Elephas maximus indicus: one gene and its partners. The protein of the gene in region 1 purifies or fractionates together with the protein of each later gene. This does not show direct contact. Links are inferred from orthologs where the notes say so. Each region holds a gene or a part of one and is shown on either strand. Other genes may lie near its edges. The genes, in order: LRRK2, SLC25A6, ACTG1 and SLC25A5.

Region 1 (7,736 bases):
TGTCAGTAGAGAGACCTGTTTCTACATCCCTTTGATAAGAGTGATGTGAATCAAAAATTACAATGTTTCTGTGCCTAGTATGGCCACAGTGGTTGTACCAAAACATTGTGCTTTTGTACTTGCTTACATGAAAAGTCTGTGATATTCAGAAGCCGTGGACAGTATGACGGAAGAGGCTTCAAAGTTACGAGAAGACTTGAGTTAAAGTCTTGGCTCTGCTACTAGCTGGGTGATCCCAAATAAGCCATTTCCTCTTGCTGAGCTTTTATGAGAGGAAATTATCCAGTGAGATTTCTGAACAGGCAATGGTATCAAATGATATAATATATACAATGCCCTTTGCAGGCTTAGATGGTGCTATAATTAATAATTCTATTCCATTAAATTATCAAATCAGAAGACAATTCCTTACTTCCCTCCATATTTTGTCTCTAGTACCTACTGGGCCAGAATATTGAGTGATACTCATAGCTACTACAGAATAGTGTGACTCAGGTTTGGGCAGTTTCTAAAGTGAAGAAGAATCAGATGGGAAGTATGTTCAGGTTCCCTTGGGGTCTCAAGCCTATCATGGCTTGCTCTGGACTCTGTAGACCAAAGCCCACCTAGGATCCCATTGTCCTGAGTGGTACTGAGCAAGGTGACTCTGCCAGGCAGAGTCCAGGAATGGAGGCTGCCAGAACCAGTCACATGAACATGGAGGCGAGGGAAATGGGGGTAGGTGGGTGGAGAGCAGCAAACACGGTGGACCAGTGCCTAAAATGTGATTCATGTTCCATGGGCAAATTCAGACCTCGAGTGCTAAAAAGAGCAAGCATCCTTATCATGCCTCTAGCTTTTCTTGGTTTTGTTTAATAGTAGCCAGGAAATCAATAGTCAGATGGAAAACATTTCATAGTTGAAGAAAAATAAAAGAAACCATTTATCCCAGATATGAATGTGCTTATATAAAAGAAGTTAGATACTTAGTATCAGACATAGCTGATATAGAGATAGAGACAAAGATACATAAACACAATGACAGAGAGAGAGAATTCTTACCCCTGTGTGGCATCTCAATTAGACAGGAAGAAATACTGGCTTTCTGTCTACACCTCCACAGAATTCAAAGTTTAATTTTATTTTCCATCAGGACTTTACAGATGACAAAGCTCATTTCAGTTCCCCAAATCTCAAAAGGAAGTTATCACCTTAGTCAGAAATTTGTTTTTACCGTAAATCATTCTTACTTACCATCTTAGGTTTCACTTTTTAATATACCTAAGATATACTAACTCGATTTTTTGAGTTTCCTATGACACCGATTCTAAAAATTTCAGTTTTATATTCAGTTTACATGGGAACACAAAAAATAAACATATAGGGGAATCCTAAAACATCACTTTCATTAGACACAAGGCAAACTTTAAAAAGGCTAGGTACTTCACTGTCTTCAAACTAAAATTTTTTTAAAAATCTCTGAAACCTATGAGAATTTGCCAGTTACTTAATTGTGTTTTATTACTGTTAATTATTCCCCTTTCCCAAACTATTGGCAATGGTGTCAAATCTAGGACATAGCTCTGCACTGGGAAAATCCTAAGAATAATTCAGTCTAAACACCCTGAAACTCATCTAGCCAGTAACAGAGTACCTCAACCCATTACTATTCTCCCCAGCCCCCAACCACGTTCTGCCAGTCAGTTTTATTAAGTTACCTTTTAATGACATTCTTGGAACTCCGGGCAAGCACTTTTACACAGTTAACATTAGATAAAGATTTGACAATACTCTCATCTTAAAATCACTGTCAGAGGTTCATCAAGCCAAATCTCAGAAATAACCAGGAACTCCAGGTATATAACTTTGACAGAAAAACATCGCTTTCCAAAAAGAAAGGGCGAAAGGGCAGAATGAAAGCAGCTCCTTACCTGCTGCACACCCGCGACTCTTATGTAGGAGTCCAGGACGATCAACAGAGGCACGTGGATATTTTTGCCTTGAAATAACTTGGAGGCTGGAAAAGAAGGGGGTGAGGGGAAAGAAGCAAAGTCAGTCACAATTCACAGCAGCCCTTTAATGTCCCAAAAAGGGGGGGAAGCAAATACGAGGTGAGCTCAAGATCTTCCTGGAATTCTCAGCTCCTTTCCGCTTTAAGGAAAGGAGTAGGGAGTTTGAGGCTTCTCAGGAGTCCTGGACTGAGCAGCTCCAAAGGGCAAGGGAGAAAGTTTGCAAAAAGGGGTGAGGGTGGAGGGAATCATTCCCTAGTGATTACCGTGGTCGGCGTACGTCAACACCAAAATATCCTCCAGGATTTGGACCAGCGTCTCAATCTGTTTTCCTTCCTGGACATTGTTCAGCCTGACTATTAACTTCTTCAGAGTTTCCTCGTCCTCCTCCTCGCACCCCTGACAGCTGCCACTGGCCATGATGGCCCCTGCTGTGTATCCGCTGCCCCTCCGGGCAAGGAGGCCCGCTGCTCAGACAAGGGGCTGGGGCTTAGGCCACTGTTCCGGGCAAGTACAGCTCACTGCTGGCAGCCCGTACGCCCCATGGGCACCCGCTCCGGCCTGTTTATGAGAAAGGCGGCGTCTCCACGCCCTGCGCTCCCCTCCCTCTCCTCGAGCCTTCCTCCTCCGCCGCCCAGGCCCCAAAAATGAGCTCGGTGGCCTGCGAGAGGCTGGTAGAAAGCTGAACCGTGGCACGGCTGCCGAGGCGGGGCTCCAGGGGGGGCCGGCCAGACGACTGTGGCCCCGGAGCCCACTGCGCTGGGAACCCCCGGGCGGGCGCCGCCTCCTTGGCCCGATCTGATCCCACTCGCCGAGGCAGTGCAGCAAGGGAGTCGCGCAGGAAGAAACTGACTCAGCGGAGTCCGCCAAGTGCCCCAGACCCGGAGTCCTGCAGCGGTGGGGAGGAGGCTTACAGCCTGCAGCCGGCAGGTTACGGTCCCAGACCGGCCAACCCGGGCTCCTTTGGGCCCACGGAAAGTGGGATCTCAGAAGAGGAAAATGAAAGCCGCCTATTTCCAGATCTGAGAATAGAAATCAGGGCTTTGGGAAAAGAGGACACCGCCCAGTCGGCCCCTTTTAGGGCAACATTCTCTTTAGGGTTCCACCTACAGGGAGATGCATTAATTTCTCCGCAAGGATGGAGATGTTAGCAGTCAAAATTTGCCTAGCTAAATTCTTTTTTTGTGATTGTTGTGCGTGGAGATAAAAGGTGCTTTTTCTGTTATTTGAAAATCTGGTTGCCAAACCAAAAAAAAAAAAAAAACACCAAACCCATTGCCTTGAAATCCATTCTGAGTCATAGCGACCCTATAGGACACAGTAGAACCGCCCCATAGGGTTTCCAAGGAGCGGATGGTGGGTTCCAACTGCTGACATTTTGGTTAGCAGCCAAACTCGTAACCACTGCGCTGCCAGGGCTCCAAAAGGCCACTAAAAATACCTTGAAATTTTGTGTTTGCACTAGGAAGATTCCTGATAGTGGACATGCCAAAAGTAATCAATTCTCTGTACTATTAAAACTGAAGAGAAAGACAGGGTAAATGAAATGACCAGCAGAAAAGGTGAAACAAACAAGCCAAAAAATATTGCTCTCTTACTATTAAGAATTACTAATGAAAATGGGTGTCTATAATCAAAAGTTTTTAAAAATGGACCAAAGTAATGTGTTTTTCAGGAAGGGAAACCAGTTAGAAACACTGTAGACAAGGCACTTCTACACTGTAGACAAAAATGATACTGTCTTCAGGCCAAGGCAAACCACAAGGTAAGGGCTATTTACACAGGAGAGGATTGAACTGGAAGTTAGAACTTCTCAGTTTTTAGATTCCTTTCACATCTGTTACCTCAGTCTAATGATAATTCTGAAATGCACAAGGCAGCTACAATTTCTTCTTCTTTTACTAATGGAAAATTGAGATTTGAGATGTTAAATGAAGAGATTTTCCTGGGTCAAACAATGGGAAGTTGAGAGCTGGAACTTAAATCCAGGTAGAATGTCTAACACCAAATTGAGTGCTCTTTTTCTTTACATTCTGCCATTTTAATCAAAATGACCTAGCTTTACTTCAAACATTAGGTTAATAAAACAAGTTTAAATTCAACCTTGGTATTGTGAATGTTTTGCCGTTGTTGTACATTTTTCCCCCCAAATTTTATTTTGTTATTGTTGTTGAGAATATATACAGCTAAAGACACAGCAATTCAAGTTTCTATATGTACCATTTATTAATACCAATTATCTTTTAAAGACACACGCTTATCTATTTACAGTTAAAATAATATAATGATGAGGATTTGCTTCAAAGTAACCCAGTGATGGGGGAAGGGATGAAATGGGTGGAGGTAGTGATGCAAAAACACCAACTTTTGAATTGATAATTGTTGGAGATAGCTTCATGGGGTTTATTTTACTATTCTCTACTTTTTATAAGATATAAAAGTTTCCATATAAAACTTAAAACACACACAACTCTCATACTTGTAGTTGTTATCATACCTGCTGTATATGCCTTCCTAACTGGTTTCTTATGTCATCTTTTGACTACCTACTCAATAACTCATATTTCTAGGAAGTCTCCCTTTTATGTCTCCCTTCCCAAACTACTGGTTTATTATCTTGCAAGAGATTGAAACCTAACTGCCTTCTAAGAGAAAGTCAATCTAAGTATAAAAGATTCCTTTTCTTTTCCTCAATCAATATTCATTATTCCATCTATTTTCTATACTATATTAGAGTAACTGGACTCTGTGAAGAAGAATATGGCATCAAGATAGGTGGAAGACTTATTAAGAACCTGAGATATGCAGATGACACAACCTTGCTTGCTGAAACACTAAGCAGACTTGAAGCACTTACTGATGAAGATCAAAGGCTATAGCCTTCAGTATGGGTTACACCTCAATATAAAGAAAACAAAAATGCTCACAACTAGAATAATAAGCAACATGGTGATAAACGGAGAAAAGACTGAAGCTGTCAAGGATTTCAGTTTACTTGGATCACAATCAACACCCATGGAAGCAGCAGTCGAGAAACCAAATGATGTACTGCATTGGACAAATCTACTGCAAAAGACCTCTTTAAAGTGCTGAAAAGCAAAGATGTCACTTTGAGGACTAAGGTGTACCTGACCCAAGCTATGATATTTTCTTTTTTTAATCTTTATTGTGCATTAAGTGAAAGTTTACAAATCAAGTCAGTCTCTCACACAAAAACTTACATACACCTTGCTACAAAGAACCCAGTGCTACATACTCCCAATTGTTCTCCCCCTAATGAGACAGCCCACTCCCTCCCTCCACTCTCTCTTTACGAGTCCCTTTCGCCAGCTTCTAACCCTCTCTACCCTCTCATCACCCCTTCAGGCAGGAGATGCTAACATAGTCTCAAGTGTCCACCTAATCCAAGAAGATCACTCCCCACTAGCATCCCTCTCCAAACCATTGGGCAGTCCAATCCATGTCTGAAGAGTTGGCTTCAGGAATGGTTCCTGTCCTGGGCCAACAGAAGGGGTGGGGGCCATGACCACTGGGGTCCTTCTAGTCTCAGTCAGACCATTAAGTCTAGTCTTATGAGAATTTGGGGTTTGCATCCCACTGCTCTTCTGCTCCCTCAGGGGCTCTCTGTTGTGTTCCCTGTCAGGCAGTTGTCTGTTGTAGCCAGGCACCATCTAGTTCTTCTGGTCTCAGGCTGATGTAGTCTCTGGTTTATATGGACCTTTCTGTCTCTTGAGCTCGTAATTACCTTGTATCCTTGATGTTCTTCATTCTCCTTTGATTCAGGTGGGTTGAGACCCATTGATGCATCTTAGATAGCTGCTTTCTAGCGTTTAAGACCTCAGACGCCACTCTCCAAAGTGGGATGCAGCATGTTTTCTTAATAGATTTTATTACGCCAATTGACTTAGATATCCCCTGAAACCATGGTCCCCAAACCCCTGCCCCTGCTACACTAGACTTCAAAGCATTCAGTTTATTCAGGAAACTTCTTTGCTTTCGGTTTAGTCCACTTATGCTATCCTCGCCTGTATTGTGTGTTGTCTTTCCTGTCGCCTAAAGTAGTTCTTATCTACTATCTAATTAGTGAATACCCTTCTCCCACCCTCTCTCCCTCCCCCCTCTTGTAACCATCAAAGAATATTTTCTTCTCTGTTTAAACTATTTCTCGAGCTCTTATAATAGTGGTCTTATACAATTGTTGTCCTTTTGCAACTGACTAATTTCACACTCAGCATAATGCCTTCCAGGTTCCTCCATGTTATGAAATGTTTCACAGATTCATCACTGTTCTTTATTGATGCATAGTATTCCATTGTGTGAATATACCATAATTTATTTATCCATTTATCTGTCGATGGACACCTTGGTTGCTTCCATCTTTTTGCTATTGTAAACAGTGTTGCAATAAACATGGGTGTGCATGTATCTGATCGTGCAAAGGTTCTTATTTCTCTAGGATATATTCCAAGGAGTGGGATTGCCAGATCGTATGGTAGTTCTATTTCTAGCTCTTTAAGGAAGCACCAATTCTATTTCCAAAGTGGTTGTACCATTTTACATTCCCACCAGTGCTGTATAAGTGTTCCAATCTCTCCATAGCCTCTCTGACATTTATTATTTTGTGTTTTTTGGATTAACGCCAGCCTTGTTGGAGCGGAAAACCCTGGTGGCATAGTGGTTAAGCGCTACGGCTGCTAACCAAAGGGTCAGCAGTTTGAATCCACCAGGCGCTCCTTGGAAACCCTATGGGGCAGCTCTACTCTGTCCTATAGGGTCGCTATGAGTTGGAATCAACTCAATGGCACTGGGTTTGTTTTTTTTTGGTTTTTAAAGGCTAATGATCGTGAGCATTTCCTCATGTATCTGTTAGCTACCTGAATGTCTTCTTTAATGAGGTCTGTTCATACATTTTGCCCATTTTTTAATTGGGTTATTTGTCTTTTTGTAGTTGAGTTTTTGCAGTATCACGTAGATTTTAGAGATCAGGCGCTGATCAGAAATGTCATAGCTAAAAATTTTTTCCCAATCATAGGTAATCTTTTTACTATTTTGATGAAGTCTTTGGATGAGCATAGGTGTTTGATTTTTAGGCGCTCCCAGTTATCTAGCTTTTCTTCTGCATTCTTTATAATGTTTTGTATACTGTTTATGCCACATATTGGGGCTCCTAACATTTTCCCTATTTTTTCTTCCATGATCTTTATCACTTTAGATTTTATATTTAGTTTCTTTGATCCATTTTGAGCTTGTTTTTGTGCATGGTGTGAGGTATAGGTCTTGTTTCATTTTTTTGCAGATGGATATACAGTTATGCCAGAACCATTTGTTAAAAAAGACTGTCTTTTCCCCATTTAATACTTTTGGGGCTTTTGTGAAATATCAACTGCTCATATGTGGGTGGATTTATGTGTGGGTTATCAATTCTGTTCCACTGGTCTATGTATCTGTTGTTGTACCAGTGCCAGGCTGCTTTGAATACTGTGGTGGTATAACAGGTTCTAAAATCAGGTAGAGTAAGACCACCCACCTTGTTCTCCTTTTTCAGTAATACTTTACTTATCTGGGGCCTCTTTTCCTTCCATATGAAGTTGGTAATTTGTTTCTCCATCTCATTAAAGAATATCATTGGAATTTGGATCGGAATTGTATTAAATGTATAGATCGATTTTGGTAGAATAGACATTTTTATAATGTTAAATCTTCCTATCCAGGAGCAAGGTGTGTTTTCCCACTTATGTAAGTCTCTTT
Region 2 (6,912 bases), on another chromosome or scaffold:
GAAGTAGCGGATGACGTTGGCCAGGTTGCCCCGCCAGAAGGACAGCACGCCTTGCTCCTTGGGGATGCGCACGATGCAGTCCACGATGCCCTTGTACTGCTTGTCGGCCGCGATCTGCTTGCTGGCGTGCTGCACCTGAGGGACAGAGCACAGGGCACCGTGAGCCCTCGGTCCGCACACAGACACCGCACGCATCACAAAGGAGCGTTCTTACAAAACTAATGTCGCTGACCTGACTGCTCACTGTCCTGACAGTTTACAGAGGCTACACCTGAGGGCCAGAGCACAGGACGCCGTGAGGCCTCAGTCTGTCCAGAAACACCCATGGCAGCACTAACGGCTTGTACTCGGCTAACTAAATGGCTGGCAACTTTAAGTCACCCAGGGGTGCTGTGGGAGAAAAGCCTGGTGCTCTGCTCCTATAAATACTACAGCCTAGAAAGCCCTACAGAGCAATTCTACCATTTACATGTAGGGTTGCCGTGAGTCAAAATCGGCTGATGAGAATTTTCTTTTGGGGGGGGCGGGATTTATTCAAAGAACAAGCACTTTTTATAAATGTAGTGTCACTGGCATGTCTGTTCCCTGCCTGCAGGATTTGGAGGTCTTGTACTCGAGATGGCGCAGGACTGGTCAGTGTTCCGTTCAGTTGTGCTTAGGGTCGCAACCGACTCAATGGCACCTAACAACAACAACACTTGAGAGCCAGAGGACAGAATGGTGAGGGCACTGCAGACCAAGGCCTGAATCTAAACCCAGAAATGCCCTTATAAATCAACAAGTGTTTTTATAAAACCAGTGTCGCAGACGTGACAGTTCAAACTCCCCTGATCAAGCGGGAATCTCTAGGTCCCTCCTGCATCATGGGAGCCTCTGAGTGCCACAAATGGTGAAAGGTTTGTCTGTTCACCAAAAGGCTGGCATTTCATACCCACCCAGACGTGCCTCAGAAGAAAGGCCTGGTGACCGACTTCTGAAAAATCAGCCACTGAAAACCCTATGGAAGTAAGTATTTCCACCGATATACATGCGGTTGTCCTGAGTTGGAATCAAGGGCAAGTGGTTTATTCAACCATAAGTCTGGAGGCCCAATCTTTATAAGCAGTTACTGTAACTTTAGAAATTCTGTCCTAACAACCGTCTTATAAGTAGCTTGTTACTTTTGGTAACAACATCAACCCGAGGCCACCACTTCCTACTCACACAGACCATATAGCATGTAACAGAACCACCCCACAGGGTTTCCAAGGCTGTCACCTTTACGGAAGCAGACCAGCACAAAAGTAAAGATAAAGGAGGTTACAAGTCCACTGCGGACCAGCGGCTGCATAAAGACAGTAATGAAAACAGAATCCCCCCGCCCCCGGCCCCCGCCGCCACAGGTGTGCTTGGGACTAGAGACTGCTGAGTTTCCAGAACAGAAATCTGTGCTTAGAGAGTTAATTTTTGAGTGAATTCCATTTGGATGGAGATGAATTCCTAGACAGACAGCTTTTGCCAGCTCCCACATACGATGTGCTGTTCAAGTCTGAAATCACAGATACAGTAACTCCTGTGAACAAATGCTGCTGCACCCATTTCAACCCACGTTGTGTCAGAGTAGAACTGCACTCCACAGGGTTTCCAGTGATTGGTTTTTTAGAAGCAGGTTACCAGGCCTTTCTTCCAAGAGACCTCGGGGGCAGGGATGCAAACCTCCAACTTTTTGTTTAGCAGCTGAGCCCAGTAACCCTTTTCACCACCTCAGACCAGACCAAATCCGCTGCCATCGAAGACGATTCCCACTCACAGCAACCCGGTAAGGACAGAGCAGAACTGCTCCATAGGGTTTCCAAGGCTGTACATCTTTACCAAAGCAAACCCCATCCTCCTCCTGTGGAAGTTGGTAGGTTTGAACCCCCAACCCTTTGGGTAGCGCAGTGCCACCAGGGTTCCTCTTTTCCGGCCCGGGGACTCCTGGAAATCAATTGTCGTGGAGTTGACCACGACTCAGGGACACCTCGTGTTGTGTCAGAGTAGAACCGTGGGCTGCAGGGTTTCCAATAATTGACCTTTTGGAAGCCGATCACCAGGCATTTCTTCCGAGGCGCCTCGGGGTGGACTAGAACCTCCAACCGGATGGCTAAGAGTCTAGCGCTTCACCGTTTGCATCGCCCAGAACGAGTTCACTGTTGTCAAAGAGACTGACCCAGAAACTGACTTTCTGAGCTCAAATTTCGGTTCTAAGAACTGTCAAGATCATCTACGCCCACGTACACCTGTCAAAATCCACAGCCGATGTGAATAACCCACAGGAGCCCCTTCCAGACACTGTCTGTGCGTCCCTCCTTGCTCGGGAAGGACGTGTGCACACGTGGGGTTTCTTTGGGCTCCCCAACCCACGATTCAAGTTCAAGGAGAAAAATGCACTTTAAAGGACCCCCTGCCCCGGGACACAGGGCACAAGGGTGGGCACTGGGGGCGGAGGTGGCCCCAGCTGGGGGTCAAAGCTCCCCAGGGACGGTCACCCTCCCAAGGTCACGACATGCCCGCCCCAGAGTCGCTCTGCCCTTCCCGACCCGGGCGCCAGAGCGCATGCGCGCCCGGCCCGGAGCCCGTCCCCGCCCCCACGCCTGCGGCGACGCCCCACGTGACCCGCCATCGCCCCGCCCCGGAAGCCGCCGGCGCGCGGACAAAGCGGTCGCGGCCTTGCACTTCCGGTGCCGGTCCCGGTGCTCGCGGCCGGCCCGACCCGGTCCCCCGCGCCCTGTCCGCGCGGCTCCCTCCGGGCCCGGGGTCCTGCCCACCCGCCGCCCACCTGCAGCAGCAGCTTGACCCGCTCGATGGGGGCCACGGCCGTCTTGGAGATGGCGGCGGCGATGCCGCCCGCCAGGAAGTCCTTGGCGAAGGAGATGGCCTGTTCCGTCATGGTGGCAGAGCGCGCTGCGGAGCGGGCGGAGAACTGGAGTGGACGCGCGAGGGCAGGGAAGGTGGGCGCCGCTGGCTCTGCCGCCGCCGCCGGGACCGAAAGGACGGGCCGCCTACCGCGCAGCCGCTAAGGCGCCCAGGCCCCGCCCCCGCCCCCGCCCGCAGCGCCTATTGGCCGCCGCGCCCACCGGCGCCCCGCCCCTCGCCGCGTGCCGCGCCCCCGGGGGATGCCGGGAGTCGCCGCGTGCCCCGCCCCGCGCCCCCGCGCGTCCTGCCCATTGGCCGCGCGGCCGCCACGCCCCGCCTTTTCCTGCGCTCGGTGGCCCCGAGGCATGCTGGGAGCCGGGTCCCGCCCATGCGCCTTGCGGGCGGGGGGCTCGGCTGCAGTGACCTTTTCAAGGTCACTGGGAGCGGGGAGGTTTGGGGGGCTGCCCCCGGGGCGCGCCGTCCGCGGCCTTCCACCAGGCCCGGGTGCCCGCGCGCATCCCCGGGAAGGGAGACAAGGCCAAGGACCGGAAGCTGCCGTGCTCCCGACCCCCGCTTTTCCCCCAGGATGGAGCCTTTTAATGGGGGGCGGACGCGTCGTCCAGTGAAACCCTCAGACCCTGCTAAAGGGAAACACGTTTTTGGGGGGCGGCCTGATGCCCCTTCCTCGCGCTAGGGCGCCCCGACCCCGAGCGAGGCTCCGCCTGTCGCCCCTCCAGGCTCACCTGGGGGCCCTCTGCCCCCGCCCCTTAACTCCCGGCACCAGCCCGGTGGCCTTTATGGGGCCTGGGGTCCTTTGCTGCACCCCCGCGGGGCTCCCCCTCCACCTGCACTGGCGCCCACCTCCCCCAGGCCACCGAGGGGCTTCTTCCCCACCTTACCCCTGTAAGGCCCAGGGCTGACCTTTGGGGACTTGGAGATGAGCAGGAGGTCATAAGCTGCCCATATTACACACACTGACATACACCCCTTACGCCCACCCAGAAAGTAAGGTTGTGAGGGCAAGATGTTTTAAGATACTTTGAACTTTTTTTTTGATGTAAAAAAGAAAACAACCCCATTGCCATCCCTTGGATTCCAACTCATGGCGACCTTATAGGACAGAGTAGAACGCCCCCATAGGGTTTTGTAGGCTGTAAATCTTTACAAACTGACATATCTTTCTTGTGCAGACCACCTGGTGGGTTCGAATCACCGACCTTTCGGTTCTCAGCCAAAGGCTTTAACCACGGGGCCACGATCACCCAATGAGTTTTCACAAACTGAACACAGTCCGGTAAGAAAAGACCCTTACCAGCAACCCAGAATGGTTCCTGGGTGGTGTAAATGGTCAACACACTCAGCTGCTAACTGAAAGGTTGGAAGTTCAATTCCATTCAGACGTGCCTCAGAAGAAAGGCCTGGCAACCTACTTCCAGAAAAATCAGCCACTGAAAACCCTGTGGAGCCGCGTTCTGTTCTGACACGTCGGGGGGTCACCATGAGTCAAGTTTGATTCAATGGTAGCAGCTCAGAAGCAGGGTCCTTTTTTCTTTTTTTCCTTTCTCCCTCCCTTGCTTCCTTTCTCTCTCCTTCCATTCTTTCCCTCTCTCCTTCCTTCCCTCCCTGTCAGTCCCTGGCACTGAATGAATGGGCAGATGGAATGGAGCCACACAGAAGAGCTCAGGGCACGCCACCCTGCCAATTTCACGGTCCAGTGTGTTATGAGGAGCCCTGGAGGCAGAGTTGGTGCAGTGGTTAAGTATTTCATTGCTAACCAAAAGGCCGGCTGTTTGAATCCATCAGCCGCTCCTTCGAAATCCTATGGGGCAGTTCTCCTCTGTCCTGTAGGGTTGCTATGAGTCAGAATCGACTCGACGGCAACAAATTTTTGGTTTTGGATGTGTTTTGAACTTTTTATTGATCTGTAACATACAGAAAATTGCACAAGCACTCGAATTTTCACGAAGAGAACATAGTCCTCTCAGAAAGACCCTTAGTAGCAAACCAGAAGTGTCCCTGGATGGTGCAAACAGTGGACATTCTCAGCTGCTCACCAAAAGGGGCACAGTCCAAGGCCCTGAAGCAATGGGTGAGGGGAGGGAACCAGACACAAGAGCTCAGGCACCCTGAGCCTATCCACTTCCCAGGCAGCAGTGTCCTTTAAATGCCTTTCTTAGTCCTCTCTTGACCTCTGCTGTGAGGCAGGTAGGGGGCAGGGCTTGAGGCCTCCACATTCCACAGGCTTCAGCTGGCTTGGAGGCAGAGGCTGTACCTGGAGGGTGTGCCCGGCTGTGGGCAGGGACAGGGTGTCTGCTCAGGGACCTTGTCTGGGCACTGGTTTCCACCAGATGTTTCTCGTCTTTGCAGACTCAGCCTGTCTGGGCTGGAACAGACCCAGGAGACGGTTATCACTGCCCTCGCCTGAGCCTACAGGGCCACGGAGCTGGAGTGTGAGGTCCAGCTGGGACTCCCAGGCCCTGGAATGTGGTGTATCAACTTCAGTGCCACAGACTGTGTGGTACAGAAGAGAGCGTTTGTAATATTTACAGGAGTCCTAGCGGCACAGTGGTTAAGAGCTATGGCTGCTAAACAAAAGGTTGGCAGTTCAGATCCAACAGTCGCTCTTTGGAAACCCTGTGGGGCAGTTCTGCACATCCTACAGGATCGCTGTGAGTCCGACTCGAATCCACAGCAATAGGTTTTAATGTTTATGGAAGCAGGTTCCCTCGGAGCCACTGAGTGGATTTGAATCACCAACCAGGGCTCTTTCCCATAAATAGACACATTAAAAGATTTTGGGTTTTAGCTGATGGCTTGGAATGAGTAGTGCAGTGATGTGGCTGGCAGTTTTTTCTTTTTTGGGGGAGGGGGATAGTAGGAACTGTGAAATTCTTGGGAATCAGCGTTCCATCAGGTGCTGCCTTCAAAGGTCTCTAGTGACAACAGGGAGGAGGCTGGACAGGGCAGGGCTGAGGGGAAGGGCCAAGCTCCATTTACTTAGGTGTGACAGGAAAACCTGTCAAGGCCAGAACCTGTGTAAGGCAGAAACCTGTCCGAGAATGGAAACTCAAATATTTCCCACTAATAAAAAGTGTTAGAAAAGTGGTAAGACTGCACCCTGTCGAAAGCAGAAAACTTAGGAGACCCAGAAAAAGAAAGTAGTCCTGTCAGAGTTCCCCCTTGCACGGATTTCACTATAGTATATGACTTATGGTTGGAGCCCTGGTGGTGCAGTGGTTAAAAGCTTGGCTGCTAACCCAAAGGTCAGCAGTTCGAATCTGCCAGGCGCTCCTTGGAAACCCTGTGGGGCAGTTCTCCTCTGTCTTGTATGGTTGCTAGGAGTCAGAATCGACTCCACGGCAGTGGGTTACATAACTTAGGGTTTGTGCCGCTGCCTCCGCAGAACCCCGGAATAAGTCCAGAGGGTAGTTTTTACTAAGTGCTGTGTTGCAAACAGAACAGTCCCCAAAACCCCGGGGTTGTGGGTAGCAGTTAGCAGGGACAGCTGCTTCGTGTTGTCCTTGGCTGGCAGGAGTCAGGGTTGCTGTTGGGTCACCTTGGGCCCCAATCTCCACTTCCTTCCAGCCCGGCATCTCAGCCAGGGCCCTTCTTGTTCCCTCAGCGCCGCTGTGCAAGGTGAAAGAGTCTAGGAATAATGCCTTCCTGGGCTGTGCTCCAGGAAGCCTGGTGGCATAGTGGTTAAGTGCTATGGCTGCTAACCAAAGGGTCGGCAGTTTGTATCTGCCAGGCGCTCCTTGGAAACTATGGGGCAGTTCTACTCTGTGCTATAGGATCACTATGAGTCGGAATCGACTCCATGGCACTGGGTTTGGTTTTTTTTTGGTTGGACTGCGCTCCACGCTGGCACCCATTCTCTGCCCCTAGGTGTCCTGGGCCATCCCATAGGTGCTGGGTTGATCAGGAGATCCTGGGTTTGAGGCTAGTCGCCCAGAAGAGCGGCTCCCTCCTGGGCTTAGTTCACTTAGCAGGCTGGGACATAGTGGCTGGCAGAGACTGCCCCGGCCTCAAGGGCTTTTC
Region 3 (7,195 bases), on another chromosome or scaffold:
ATAAGGTTGGAGAAAGGAGGTATGTCTGACATCTGCCTCATAGAAATAAGCCTTGGGCTGTTGATCTTGATTCTCCTTCCACTTGTGAAGTTGGAGCTTAGAGGTCAGATGACCCCACGCCACCATTTGTACAGGGCCATCTAGATCACCTGTGCTTCAGCCTGCGTGGTGACAACAGGAGAACTGAGGCATGCCTAGGCAGCAGGCGGGAGATAGGCTTGGCCTTGCCCTCCCGGGCAGACGAGGCCCATGCCAGGGGCTGCCCCTGCCCTGTAGGAGTGGGCTCCGGGACCTGGAGAGGGCATCAGCAGTCAGGAACAGGGCAGTCACCTTACATTTGATCTGTCCACAGAGGCTGGAAAAAGGTTAGGAACATGAGCTGATGTAGGTACTTTTTTTTCCCCCTTGGACATTTTTATTTTGGAATAATTTTAGGTTTATAGAAAAGTCCAAAGATCCTGCAGAGTGCCTTATACCCACCCACTAGTTCCCCCTAAAGCTAACATCTTAATCACAATCCAGTCGTCAGCACTAAGAGGTTAGCACTGGTATGTTACTATTAACTCCATACTTCATTTGGATGTCACCGTTCCCCCCACAGTGTCCTTGTTTTGTTACAGAATCCAACCCTTGGAACTTGGTGGGGAGACTGGGCCGACAGAGACAAAGGCCAGGATGGGCAATCATTCCCGAGGCCCTGCCTTGTCTGGTGGTCAGCTGGGGGGCCATGTTACCAGGTGCAGAGGTGACACGGATTCCAGGGCTGGGACAGGGAGATGACAGGCTGACATCAGTGTTGGAGGAACTCATGGGAAGGACCCTAAGCCGGGGTGCCAGAGGGCAGTGCCCAGGGCCTAGAGGGAGGCCCCAGGCTATCTTAGGCCCAGCACATTGCACAGCAGGACGACACTACCTTCCCAGCCACTGTCTGCTCATCTGTTAAATGGCTGGGAAACATACACAGCAAGGCCACAATAAAAAGCCACCAAAGCCAGTACCAAGCTAATAGTGGCACAGTGGCTAAGCACTCAGCTGCTAACCCAAAGGTGGGCTGTTTGAACCCACCAGCAGCTCTTAGGGAGAAAGATCTGGCAGTCTGCTTCTGTAAAGATTACCGCCTTGAAAACCCTATGGGGCAGTTCTACTCTGTCCTATAGAATGCCAATGAGTTGGAATCAACTCAACGGCAGCGAGTTTTAGGGGTTTTTTAGGAGGGAAAAAAAAGGCCATTTCTCTGAGTCCTAAGCCTTCTTCCTGAGAAGGGACACTCACACCCCTTCAGCTTCAATTGCCGGCTCTCCCTCCCCCAGCCCTTCCCAGAGCCTCCCTGCTCACCCCAGCCAGGGGCTGCCACCTCCATACGGTCCACGGACGGCCTCTCCACTCCAGCTCCTGGAGGGGTGGGGTCGGCCTGCGCCACCCACTTCCAAAAGCACAGTTCTGACCGCCCCAGCAGGTAACCTTGGGCGAGGCGGCGAAACCACATCGCAGAATACGGTGCCCACCGCCGTCCTCCGCCCCAGGGCTAGGAGACCTGCTACACCTGGAGCCACGGCAGTCCCAGCGGCGCCCGGCCTCCGCGCCCCTATGCGGGCATCCAGCTGCGCACCCCCAACCCCTCTGGCCATCTGACCCCCACCCCCCCCAGATCCTCGCCTCTGGGGCCTCGACACCCAAAACCCTGGTAGGCCGAGCCGGGTCCCCGCCGCGGGTAGGCGTGGAGGCCGCCGCCCAGCAGGGCTTCCCCGCACCACCCCTTTGTCCTGCGGGCCAATCCGCGGCCTCCTGCCTAAATAAGGCGAGGCGCGCCGGCGCCGGCCGTTACTTCCGCCCCGCCCGCTCGCCCGTGACTCAGGTCCCGAGGCGGGCGGGACCGCGGGCTTCCCGGCGGCGGTGGCGGCGGGCGGGGCGGCGGCACCGAAATCGCCAAATATGGCCGCGCCGCGCGCCACCGCCCCCCGCCAGCGCACCTGGGGCCGCACCTTGCCACCCCCGCCGGTGACACATCGCGGAAGGGGAAGTAGCTGCCCCCCTAGCCGGCCGGCCTGGGCGCCCCCTCCGCGCCGCCCTGGCCCTGCCGGGCGGGGGGCTCGCGGCCACCGCCCCCACGGCCCTCTGACCTTGCCGCGGCGTCCTGTCCTCCCGGTGGACGTGCGGAAGGAAGGGTAGGGGCGGGGATCGAGGGTCCATCTGTCCCCAGAAGCAGGCTGGGAGTGGGCCGCAGCCCGCCTCCCAGCACACACAAAGGCGTTTGAGAGGAAACCCGAGTCCGTGGAGGGGACAGGCGCCCCGCCCCCACTGGGAGCCGAGGGGTCCTAGCAGAGCAGAGCGTGGGCACAGGCTGAGGCGGCTTTATCCTTACATCTCTCCTCTCCTGTTCCCCTCGTGTGTGGCATAGAGTTTGGGAACCCCCAAGTGGAACGGCCGTACCCCCACTGTTGATGCCTACCTAGCAGGCCTGTGGTTGTGCCCAGGACAGGGGACAGGAGTCGGGTGACTTCTTGGAGGCCCAGCTCGGGTCGTCCCCTGGTGGGGCCTGGACCCAATGGAAAGCAGCCTTGAGAGTGCCCCTGTAAAATCTAGGAGGCTGGGGATCCTGCACCCTGCCTTTCAGCCTGGTGACCTGTTGGCCATGGGCACAGGCCTCGGCTTCTGGTGTTGCCAGGGCCAGCTGCTCTGCCGCGCCTAGCCCGGCGTCCTCACCTGAGAAGTGCGGTCATGAGGCTACCTTGCATGGCTAAGGGCACCCAGAGAAGATGTGTGCTGTACCTGGGGAGCCAGGTACTGGCTATCAGTGTTCCCCCAGGGTCACAACTTCGGAGGCAGGCATCCAAGACCCGACTCTGAAAACCTACGTGTCCCGTGACCTTGGACGAGTTCTTTCCCATTCTGTGTCCAGCCCACGGCCACCCTTCTGAGGGATATGCCCTTTTATGCTTTCTCTGAGCAGTTCCAAGGGTTTCCAGATAAGCACAAGGAAACCATAGTACCTGGCTCCACAGTATCTCAGAGTGTAACTGAAGCATCTGCACACACAGATGGGGTCAGGACCCTGCCAGGACAGGGGACAGGTCTTTCAATGCAGGTTCCTGCTGAGAAAGGTTCGCCCTGGGCTGGGAGAACTCCTAGCGCCAGGACGGAGGAAAGGGGCGCCTGCCTGGAGGAGCTGGGGCTCAAGCGTTGTGCGGACCCAAGGCCCAGAGCACCAGGCAGTCTCTGCCTGGGAGCTCCCCGACTTTCCTTGTTTCACAAGCAGACGACAGAGGAGCAGGTGGCACCCCCCCCAGCCCATCCAGGATCTGGGGTCGATCGTTCAGGGAGTGGGGACTCCCTCCCCCTGCCTCTACTTCCCTATAACGTGCACCAAGTGATAACATTGAAACAAAGGCGGGCGCCGCGCGGATGGGGCTTGACCTCAAACCCGGGTGGGGCCGGCGTCCAAGGACAAGCGGGTCTGCTTTTGGGGGAATGTATCGCAGGACGTGTCGGGTGTGGGGAAAGGGGCCTCTGGCTCACACCCCTGGGGACCGGGGCCGGGCGCCCCCTCCTCCCGCAGCGGGGGCCTTGCACCGCGTTAGGGGGCGGACGGATCCTTCCTATGGCTCAGAAGCGAGGTCACGGCTCCCCTCGGCCTCGGGACCCAGGGCGCTGGGGACCCCAATTCCGGCTCCCTCCCCCAGCCCAGCACCGGGAACCGGCCTTCACGGCCACGGGTCTCAGTGCAGCCTGAGAGGAAGGCTCCTTGGGGGCGCCTGGAGAGTAAAGCCTCCAAACAAGGCCCAACCGCGGGGACACATCCCGGCTCGGGGCGCGGCCCAGGCCCGGGTCAAGCAGTTTCGGGGCGCAGCCCGGCCCCTCCTCCACGGCGCGACAGTCCCGAGGTGGAGCCGGGTCGGTCACCCCGCAGCCCTCCTAGCGACCCCCGCAGGTCACCCGGATAGCCGCACCCCGCGCCCTGCCCCGCCAGTCCGTCCCTCCGCCGGCCCGGCTCGGGGTCCCCGGCGCCCGGGGCGGCGCGGGCGGGGCTGTTGGGGGGCGGTGCGGGCGGGGGTAGGGCGGGGCGCGGGGCCCCACGTGCCCCCGCGGGAACGGCCAATGGGCGCCCGGCGTTCTCCAAGATCGCCATATATGGCCATGTTCTGGGCCGCGCGCGCCGCCGCTCCGCGCGCGCGCCCCGCGCCCCCTTAAAAAGCGGCGGGGGAGGCCGCGCTCGGTCTCACTTTCCTCCGACGCTCAGGGCTTGTCTCTGTCTGTGGTTAAAGCTCGCTGCTGCTTCCTTGTTTTTCCGGTAAGGGTCAGGTCTGTGCGCCCCAACCCAGCGCCGTCGTCTCCGCGAGGTCCTGGCGGCGCCCTCCGCAGGCCGCTCCGGCCGGAGAGGCGGCCTTTTGTTCCTGGGGTGGCCGGGCTGGTGGGCTGCGCCCGGGGGAGGGGCGGCGGGCCGCATTGCGGAGCCCCGGGCCTCGCGCCATGAGGGATGGTTCCATCGAGGTCTGGAAGCCGGGTCTTGGCGGTTGGGGGCCGGCCGTCCTTCCGGGCTGGGCTGCGCGCTTGGGGGGCAGTCTGGCGTCTTGGAGCGCGAGGGTCCGCCTGATCGGTAACGTCTGTAGATAGATCGCCATGGAAGAAGAGATCGCCGCCCTGGTTATCGACAATGGCTCTGGCATGTGTAAAGCTGGCTTTGCTGGCGACGACGCCCCCCGCGCCGTCTTTCCCTCCATCGTTGGCCGCCCCCGGCACCAGGTGAGTAGGGGGCGCTCTTTTTCATGGGGTCCCGGGCACTCTGAGCTGCGGGAGCTGACCCGGTCGGCCTCTTGCAGGGCGTCATGGTGGGCATGGGCCAGAAGGACTCCTACGTGGGCGATGAGGCTCAGAGCAAGAGAGGCATCCTGACTCTCAAGTACCCCATCGAGCACGGTATTGTCACCAACTGGGACGATATGGAGAAGATTTGGCACCACACTTTCTACAACGAGCTGCGTGTGGCCCCCGAGGAGCACCCGGTGTTGCTGACTGAGGCACCCCTGAACCCCAAGGCCAACAGGGAGAAGATGACCCAGGTGATTGTCTGGTTTTGTCAATGAATCCCTTTTTTCTATCTTTAGAATCGTGTTTTGCCTTACTGTTTTTATTTTCTGAAATTCAAGTGTTTCTTTCGCTGTTTCCAGGGTTCTGTTCCTCTTCTGGCATTTCCTCCTTGAAGCCTCCAGGTTTCTCGTGTGTTTCTGCCTGCTTCCCTCTCCTTTCTTCACACATCACATGGGGGGCATGTGGCATGTAGCGTGTAGCACGGGGCATTAGCAGTCGTTGTCTCTGACTAACGTTCTGCTTCCTTTGCAGATCATGTTTGAGACCTTCAACACGCCAGCCATGTATGTGGCCATCCAGGCGGTGCTGTCCTTGTATGCCTCTGGCCGAACCACCGGTATTGTCATGGACTCTGGCGATGGTGTCACTCACACTGTGCCCATCTACGAGGGCTACGCCCTGCCCCACGCCATCCTGCGTCTGGACCTGGCAGGCCGAGACCTGACTGACTACCTCATGAAGATCCTGACCGAGCGAGGGTATAGCTTCACCACCACGGCTGAGCGTGAGATTGTGCGTGACATCAAGGAGAAGCTGTGTTACGTAGCCCTTGACTTCGAGCAGGAGATGGCCACAGCCGCTTCCTCCTCCTCTCTGGAGAAGAGCTATGAGCTGCCAGACGGCCAGGTGATCACAATTGGCAACGAGCGTTTCCGGTGTCCCGAGGCCCTCTTCCAGCCCTCCTTCCTAGGTAGGTGGCCGGTGCCTCAGCCTTGAGGCTCTTCACGTGCAGTAGCCTGAAGAGGACAAGCAGTGTGGCTGTTGACCACTAAGGGAGAACTTTGTTTCTTAGGTATGGAGTCGTGCGGCATCCACGAGACCACTTTCAACTCTATCATGAAGTGTGACGTGGACATTCGGAAGGACCTGTATGCCAACACGGTGCTGTCTGGCGGGACCACCATGTATCCCGGCATTGCTGACAGGATGCAGAAGGAGATCACAGCGCTGGCGCCCAGCACAATGAAGATCAAGGTAGGTCCCCAGGGGGCTGTGACCTAGGCGTGGGCAGGCAGGGCCCAGTGTGCTGCTAACGCCTCTCTTGTCACCCGTGCAGATCATTGCTCCCCCTGAGCGCAAGTACTCGGTCTGGATCGGCGGCTCCATCCTGGCCTCGCTGTCCACCTTCCAGCAGATGTGGATCAGCAAGCAGGAGTACGACGAGTCGGGCCCCTCCATCGTCCACCGCAAATGCTTCTAGACGGACTGCCAGCAGGTGCCACCACCTGCCGCATGAGCCCATTCCCGAGTGCAGGTTGCACACCTGTACGCCTCATGCTAGCCTCGTGAAACTGGAAGAAGCCTTTGAAAAGAAATTGTCCTTGAAGCCTGTATCTTGATATCAGCACTGGATCATAGAACTTGTTGCTGACCTTGACCTTGTATTCAAGTTAACTGCTCCCTTGGTCTGTGTTTAATACCCTGTACATATCTTTGATTTAAACCCCTAGTTCGTGTGATCTGGTCATCCCATGGCCAAGGTGAGGGATGACATGGTGTGGTGAAATTGTTGGCGTGGCGAGTGTCTGCTTCACTGACCTCGCGGTCTGTGCAGGGTATTAATGCGGAGAGCTGACGGTGCCAGGATTTCCAGAGGCTGGCAAGAGTTGGAAAGCAGTTGTCATTTCTGTCTTGCCAGCCTTGACAGGGTTGGAAAAATCTGAGCCTTAGGACCCAGTTTCCTCTCTTAGCTGATGTTTTCCCGTTGGAACACCGTGGGTTGTTAAAACTTGCCTTGAGTTGGAAGATGATTTGCATTTAAACCTGTAAATTTATTCATCCTTTTAATTTATGTGAGGTTTTTGTACGCAGTTCTCAACTCTAAGATGACAACAAATTTTGGTTTTTCTATTGTCATGTGCGAACATTAGGCCCCAGCAACGCGGCGTTGTGTTAAGGAGAAATAAAGTGCTGCAGTGAACCGGCGACTGGCTCCAGTTCCTGGGGGGCGGGGTGGGCGGGCGGACGGGTGGGAGGTCTCTTGAGCCACACTGGGCTGCATACCGGACAACTTGGCAGCGATTTTGGTTTAGTATAATTAGCATTTCAAGACAAGCACTAGTCTCTTTGGACCTTTATTGAACCCAGCTGAATCTTGAGCACCTGCAGG
Region 4 (7,316 bases), on another chromosome or scaffold:
ATCGTAGGCATTAGTGAGCTGAAATGGACTGGTATTGGCCATTCTGAATTGGACAATCATGGAGTCTACTATGCTGGGAATGACAACTCGAAGAGGAATGGTGTTGCATTCATTGTCAAAAAGAATGTTTCAAGATCTATCCTGAAGTACAACACTGTCAGTGATACGATAATATCCATACGCCTACAAGGAAGACCAGTTAATACGACTATTATTCAAATTTATGCACCAACCACTAGGGCCAAAGATAAAAAATTGAAGATTTTCATCAGCTGCTGCAGTCTGAAATTGATTGAACATGCAATCAAGATGTATTGATAATTACTGGTGATTGGAGTGCGAAAGTTGGAAACAAAGAAGTAGGATCAGTAGTTGGAAAATATGGCCCTGGTGATAGAAATAATGCCAGAGATCGAATGATAGAATTTTGCAAGACCAACGACTTCTTCATTGCAAATACCTTCTTTCACCAACATAAACGGCAACTCTACACATAGACCTCACCAGTAGGAACACACAGAAATCAAATTGACTACATCTGCGGAAAGAGACGATGGAAAAGCTCAATATCATCAATCAGAACAAGGCCAGGAGCCGACTGTGGAACAGACCATCAATTCCTCATATGCAAGTCCAAGCTGAAACTGAAGAAAATCAGAGCAAGTCCACGAGAGCCAAAATATGACCTTGAGTATATCCCACCTAAATTTAGAGACCATCTCAAGAATAGATTTGACGCACTGAACACTAATGACTGAAGACCAGACGAGTTGTGGAAGGACATCATCCATGAAGAAAGCGAGAGGTCACCGAAAAGACAGGAAAGAAAGAAAAGACCAAGATGGATGTCAGAGGAGACTCTGAAACTTGCTCTTGAGCGTGGAGCAGCTAAAGCAAAAGGAAGAATTGACGAAGTAAAAGAACTGAACAGAAGATTTCAAAGGGTGTCTCGAGAAGACAAAGTAAAGTATTATAATGACACGTGCAAAGAGCTGGAGATGGAAAACCAAAAGGGAAGAACACACTCGGTGTTTCTCAAGCTGAAAGAACTGAAGAAAAAATTCAAGCCTCCAGTTGCAATAGTGAAGGATTCTATGGGGAAAATATTAAATGATGCAGGAAGCATCAAAAGAAGATGGAAAGAATACACAGAGTCATTATACCCAAAAGAATTAGTCGATATTCAACCATTTCAAGAGATGGCATATGATCAGGAACTGATGGTACTGAAGGAAGAAGTCCAAGCTGCTCTGAAAGCATTGGTGAAAAACAAGCCTTCAGGAATTGATGGAATATCAGTTGAGATGTTTCAACAAACAGATGCAGTGCTGGAGGTGCTCACTCGTCTATGCCAAGAAATATGGAAGACAGCTTCCTGGCCAACTGACTGGAAGAGATCCATATTTATGCCTATTCCCAAGAAAGGCGATCCAACCGAATGTGGAAATTATAGAACCATATCATTATCACACGCAAGCAAAATTTTGCTGAAGATCATTCAAAAACGGCTGCAGCAGTATATCAACAGGGACCTGCCAGAAATTCAGGCTGGTTTCAGAAGAGGACGTGGAACCAGGGATATCATTGCTGATGTCAGATGGATCCTGGCTGAAAGTAGAGAATACCAGAAGGATGTTTACCTGTGTTCTATTGACTATGCAAAGGCATTCGACTGTGTGGATCATAACAAACTATGGATAACACTGCAAAGAATGGGAATTCCAGAACACTTAATTGTGCTCTTGAGGAACCTTTACATAGATCAAGAGGCAGTTGTTTGGACAGAACAAGGGGATACTGATTGGTTTAAAGTCAGGAAAGGTGTGCATCAGGGTTGTATTCTTTCACCATACCTATTTAATTTGTATGCTGAACAAATAATCCAAGAAGCTGGACTGTATGAAGAAGAACGGGGCATCAGGACTGGAGGAGACTCATTAACAACCTGTATATGCAGATGACACAACCTTGCTTGCTAAAAGTGAAGAGGACTTGAAGCACTTAGTAATGAAGATCAAAGACCACAGCCTTCAGTATGGATTACAGCTCAACATAAAGAAAACAAAAATCCTCACAACTGGACCAATGAGCAGAACATCATTGTAAATGGAGAAAAGATTGAAGGATTTCAATTCAATTGTCAAGGATTTCATTTTACTTGGATCCACAATCAAGAGCCATGGAAGCAGCAGTCAAGATATCAAAAGATGCATTGCATTGGGCAAATCTGCTGCAAAAGACCTCTTCAAAGTATTGAAGAGCAAAGATGTCACCCTGAAGACTAAGGTGCGCCTGACCCAGGCCATGGTATTTTCAATTACATCATATGCATGTGAAAGCTGGACAATGAATAAAGAGGACCGAAGAAGATTTGATGCCTTTGAATTGTGGTGTTGGCAAAGAATATTGAGTATACACCATGGACTGTAATCTGTCTTGGAAGAACTGCAGCCAGAATGCTCCTTAGAGGCAAGGATGGCGAGACTGCGTCTTACATACTTTGGACATGTTGTCAGGAGGGATGAGTCCCTGGAGAAGGAGATCATGCTTGGCAGAGTACAGGGTCAGCGGAAAAGAGGGAGACCCTCAACGAGGTGGATTGACACAGTGGCTGCAACTATGAGCTCAAGCATAACAATGATTGTAAGGATGGCGTGGGACCAGGCAGTGTTTCGTTCTGTTGTGCACAGGGTCGCTATGAGTTGGAACCGACTCGACGGCACCTAACAACAACAACAACAATCTACTTGAGCTAAGAAGCACACTCTTCATGAGTAACATTTTATATTTTATAATCCAGTCTAATCTTTGTCTGAAGAGTTGGCTTCAGGAATGATTTTAGTTCTGGGTTAACAGAGAGTCCCGGGGTCAGGTCTTCTGGGGTTCCTCTAGTCTCAATCAGACCATTAAGTCCGATCTTTTTACTAGAATTTGAGTTCTGCACCCCACTTTTCTCCTGTTCCGTCAGGGACTCTCTCTTGTGTTCCCTGTCAGGGCAGTCATTGTAGGTAGCCAGGCACCATCTAGTTTTTCTGGTCTCAGGCTGGTGGAGTCTCTGGTTTATGTGGCCCTTTCTGTCTCTTGGGCTAATATTTTCCATCTGTCTTTGGTGTTCTTCATTCTTGTTTGCTACAGGTGTGTTGAGAATAATTGATGTGTCTTAGATGCTTGCTCGCTACCTTTTAAGACTGCAGACGCCACTCACCAAAGGGAAATTAGTTTTAAATGGTCGAATGATGTGCTACAAACTAGTGATGAAAACTGCCATGGCCAATAGAAACTGCTCCTTAGCGCCCCTCCTCAAGCAGTGTCCAGGGCACATGCCCTGCCTGCCATACCTTAATTACACCTCTGCCAGGCTTTGGGTTCTCCTGAGCCAATTTCTGGCAAGATCTTTGTTAAACTGTATTTGCAAACCAGGGTCTGGTACAAGCCGGCAGTGTTTCCACTCTGCTGTGACCGGTTACCCCAACCTCCTCTGGCTTCATTGGTGAAGCTCCATGGCAGGGCCAGGAATAGGGTGACGAGAGTGAGGCACTCACTTCAACACAAAATTTAAGGGGGGGGTGGCGAGCCAAAACAACTCGGTAATCAAGATAGATAATTTTTAATGCAGTATTAAAAAATTTTTTTTTTTATTTTAAAGAATGAAAATTAATGCAGAACATTCGGGAATGGTTAAGGGTGATGAACAACATGATGGACATGTTTAACGGCACTGAACTGTACATGTGAAGAATGATGAAACGGCAAATGTTTTCTTACCTGTATACTTACCACAGTAATAAATGAATGCAAAAAATCCACGATTGAACATACTATCAAAATTGCAAATAAAGACAGGATCTGACCCTGCACTTGCATGTCCCTGCCTCACTTGCCTCCAATTAAGCTTTATTTTTAAAAAAGCAGGTGATTGGCCCACCGGCCATAGATTGCTTATTGGAATTTTTTTTTAATATTGCTTTAAAATACTATTTGTTGCGATTACTGAGTTTTTTGGCGCCCTCTTAAGTATTGTGTCTGAGACGAGTCCCTCACTCCCCTCACCCTGGTCTTGGCCCTGCTCCAGGGGGGTTTGTCCAAGCACACGTGATCTCACCCTTTTTCCCCCCTTGAAGGGCCCGCCCCCTTCAGGCTCCAGCGCCCAGATCCTGGGTATTCCCTGGGCCCGCCCCGTCCTTCTGCCGGACCAGGTGCTGTGGCGGCCCAGAGCCGCGGGGAGAGCGGCGCCCTGGCGGGTCCCAGAGGTTCGGCCCTCCGCGCCCTGAGCCAATCAGCGGTGCTGCCGCCCCGAGCGCCGCGGCTCAGCTCCCGCTCGGGGCCCGCCCCCAACGCCGGCCGCCTTGGCGCCGGCTCTCCGTATATAAATCAGCCATTTGCTCTGCTCCGCCCCAAAGCCCCGGAGTCAAAGCCGGTTTGTGTCCCATTGCTGCTGTCGCCTGCCTTCTTTTTTTTCAACATGACAGATGCCGCTGTGTCCTTCGCGAAGGACTTCCTGGCAGGTGGAGTGGCTGCGGCCATCTCCAAGACCGCGGTAGCGCCCATCGAACGGGTCAAGCTCCTGCTGCAGGTAAGTCCAGGGGTCGCGAGCCCAACCAGGAAGTGGGGAGGGGTCGCGCACAAAGCCAGGGTCCCCAGGGGCGAAGGGGAGCCAACTCTAAAACGTGTCCGGGGAAGTGACGGGATGGGGCGGAGATCGCGACAAAGTCGGACCAAACGGCCAACACGAGGGACTTAAAGTTTAGGTGCCTAGGAAGGGCTCGGGATGGAGGGAGGGGAGGAAGGCCAGGCGCTCAGCATCCCGGATGCGGCAAGTTGCGAGCGACTATCTCCCCGGGCTTTGGGGTCAAGGGCGAAGCCTGAATGCAGGCGCGAGAAAGAGGAGCCCCGGGCCTTACGGAGGACCTCAAGGTTGCGGCAAGGAAATAACAGCCCGGGGGAGGCCAAGCCGGCCGGTCCCATGCCCCCCAACGTGGGTGGCGCGCAAACCTTGCCGGGCCGGAAGTCGGTGCCGGGAAGCGCGTGTGCTTCTACAACCTCCCCCGCGCAGCCGCCGCCTCCCGGCCAGCCATCCTACGCCTCGCCATTCTCCGCTCCGGCTCTAGAGGGAGCTCCTGGGTGAAAGTCGGGGTGGCGGCACAGTCGCTTCTAGGAGAGGAGCTGGGGCGGAGCAGGAGGGAGGCAGTGCAGGAGACCTGAGGTATAGGTCATCAAGGTGACCGCACCCTACCTTGGACTCAGTGCCCGTGAACCTGGGTCTGAGGTAATGACCTTTCTCTCAGATAGAAAGGTGACAGTCTTCTTGAGGGTGCCCCCTCTCCACCCAAATGGGTGGAGGCTTAATGCCTGTAAGGGTGCATGTCACCTCTTCCACCTGAGACAGCTTCAGGGCTTAGGAGGGTCCAACCTGTATGATACCCAAGGCTAGACTTGTTGCGGGGGCGCGGGGCGGGGCGGGTAGCTAACCTTAAAGGACATTGATTGAGATGATATCTTCGCCTCCCTTTCAGCTTCTACATGGTTATAAATGTCCCTCTTGGCCCGCTTGTTCTCTCTCAGGTGCAGCATGCCAGCAAGCAAATCACTGCAGATAAGCAGTACAAGGGCATTATCGACTGTGTGGTCCGTATCCCCAAGGAGCAGGGAGTCCTGTCCTTCTGGCGTGGTAACCTGGTCAATGTCATCCGATACTTCCCCACCCAGGCTCTCAACTTTGCCTTCAAAGATAAATATAAGGAGATCTTCCTGGGTGGTGTGGACAAGCGGACCCAGTTTTGGCGCTACTTTGCAGGGAATCTGGCATCAGGTGGTGCTGCTGGGGCCACATCCTTGTGCTTTGTATACCCTCTTGATTTTGCTCGTACCCGTCTAGCAGCTGACGTGGGTAAAGCTGGTGCCGAAAGGGAATTCAAAGGCCTCGGTGACTGCCTGGCTAAGATCTACAAATCTGATGGGATTAAGGGCCTGTACCAAGGATTTAATGTGTCTGTGCAGGGTATTATCATCTACCGAGCTACCTACTTCGGTGTCTATGACACTGCAAAGGGTAAGTTTGCGATGTACTTTGAAGCTGCATTGTTAAGAGACCATTTATAAAAGATTGTTATGCCAGCCTAATTTTCCAGAGATTTTTTTTTTTAATTGCTTAAGAAAGCCAGGGTCATCCAGTGTAGAAATGAGGAAATGTTTGGGGGTTGTGGAAAACCACAACTAAGTAGAACTCTGCTTTTTGGTCAAAGTGTCTCCTTTCCTTTTCTCAGGAATGCTTCCAGATCCCAGGAATACTCACATCATCATCAGCTGGATGATAGCTCAGACCGTCACGTCCGTGGCTGGGTTGACTTCCTACCCATTTGACACTGTTCGTCGCCGCATGATGATGCAGTCAGGGCGCAAAGGAAGTAAGTTCCACCTGAGCAGGAGATAGTCAGAGACGTGGGCATGGGGCAAGCTGTGGCCACAAACTGGCAGTGCCTGACTTTAAAAATGGCAGTCTTTGGATCCTGGGTTGGGACTGATAGCTTCTGTGTCACAGCTGCCTTTGAGTAGGCTGTTAGATGACTGAATGAGAGTGCTTAAATGGTCCTAGAGGTTAAGACCAATGGGTTGTTTGCATATCCCTATTTTCTAGTCACAGCATTAATAGTTGACGATTGCTCACGGGAATGTGTAAATGTTGGGTTTACAAAAATGGACACTAGCTTTTAGGGAGGCAGGGCTCCCTTCTTGTCCTACTGAGTTTTCGGCCTTTCATCTGCCCTCAGTCACCAATTCCATGTTTATTCTTTGCAGCTGATATCATGTACACAGGCACACTTGACTGCTGGAGGAAGATTGCTCGTGATGAAGGCGGCAAAGCTTTTTTCAAGGGCGCATGGTCCAATGTGCTCAGAGGCATGGGTGGTGCTTTTGTGCTTGTCTTGTATGATGAAATCAAGAAGTTCACATAAGTTTATTTCCTACTTTGTTTACCCCTGTGAACAGGCATATTGTGTTATATATAACATATCTTGAACATTCTTGACAGACTGTTGGCTGTCTATCAACAGCAACTATCTGCTGGTTGAAAATGGGAAGCAATAATATTCATCTGACCAGTTTTCTCTTAAAGTCATTTCTGTGTTGATGACGATGGGACTCAGTTCTGTTTTTTATTTCAGTCACTCCTGATAAATAAAAAGTTTGAAGAAATAAAAATATCTGAAATGCAGTTTTTGCTTGCTTGCAGTTTATTTTTACATACATGCTACAGCTATGGGTCTAAGCTTCTGGGATGAAGAGCTTTCTTTGAAAATCAATCCTCAGCCATCCAT

Evidence for each region.
Region 2: the proteins of LRRK2 (region 1) and SLC25A6 purify together in Homo sapiens (co-immunoprecipitation; 3 studies listed by IntAct, with this or other methods). This does not show direct contact. The link is inferred for Elephas maximus indicus from reciprocal best matches to the Homo sapiens genes LRRK2 and SLC25A6.
Region 3: the proteins of LRRK2 (region 1) and ACTG1 purify together in Homo sapiens (affinity purification with mass spectrometry; 3 studies listed by BioGRID and IntAct, with this or other methods). This does not show direct contact. The link is inferred for Elephas maximus indicus from reciprocal best matches to the Homo sapiens genes LRRK2 and ACTG1.
Region 4: the proteins of LRRK2 (region 1) and SLC25A5 purify together in Homo sapiens (co-immunoprecipitation; 3 studies listed by IntAct, with this or other methods). This does not show direct contact. The link is inferred for Elephas maximus indicus from reciprocal best matches to the Homo sapiens genes LRRK2 and SLC25A5.

The regions. Positions count from the first base shown.
Region 1 is NC_064822.1:94,616,555-94,624,290, reverse strand, and holds the start of LRRK2 (leucine-rich repeat serine/threonine-protein kinase 2), read right to left. Parts: upstream 3,018-7,736; 5' UTR 2,409-3,017; coding exon 2,255-2,408; intron 1,998-2,254; exon of another isoform or gene 1,997-1,997; coding exon 1,911-1,996; intron 1-1,910. UniProt on the Homo sapiens protein: Serine/threonine-protein kinase which phosphorylates a broad range of proteins involved in multiple processes such as neuronal plasticity, innate immunity, autophagy, and vesicle trafficking.
Region 2 is NC_064846.1:180,063,257-180,070,168, reverse strand, and holds the start of SLC25A6 (ADP/ATP translocase 3), read right to left. Parts: upstream 3,021-6,912; 5' UTR 2,909-3,020; coding exon 2,798-2,908; intron 136-2,797; coding exon 1-135. UniProt on the Homo sapiens protein: ADP:ATP antiporter that mediates import of ADP into the mitochondrial matrix for ATP synthesis, and export of ATP out to fuel the cell.
Region 3 is NC_064837.1:71,371,774-71,378,968, reverse strand, and holds ACTG1 (actin, cytoplasmic 2), read left to right. Parts: upstream 1-4,181; 5' UTR 4,182-4,288; intron 4,289-4,607; exon of another isoform or gene 4,608-4,611; 5' UTR 4,612-4,617; coding exon 4,618-4,740; intron 4,741-4,817; coding exon 4,818-5,057; intron 5,058-5,337; coding exon 5,338-5,776; intron 5,777-5,878; coding exon 5,879-6,060; intron 6,061-6,142; coding exon 6,143-6,286; 3' UTR 6,287-7,006; downstream 7,007-7,195. UniProt on the Homo sapiens protein: Actins are highly conserved proteins that are involved in various types of cell motility and are ubiquitously expressed in all eukaryotic cells.
Region 4 is NC_064846.1:37,412,475-37,419,790, reverse strand, and holds SLC25A5 (ADP/ATP translocase 2), read left to right. Parts: upstream 1-4,301; 5' UTR 4,302-4,462; coding exon 4,463-4,573; intron 4,574-5,562; coding exon 5,563-6,049; intron 6,050-6,263; coding exon 6,264-6,404; intron 6,405-6,795; coding exon 6,796-6,953; 3' UTR 6,954-7,208; downstream 7,209-7,316.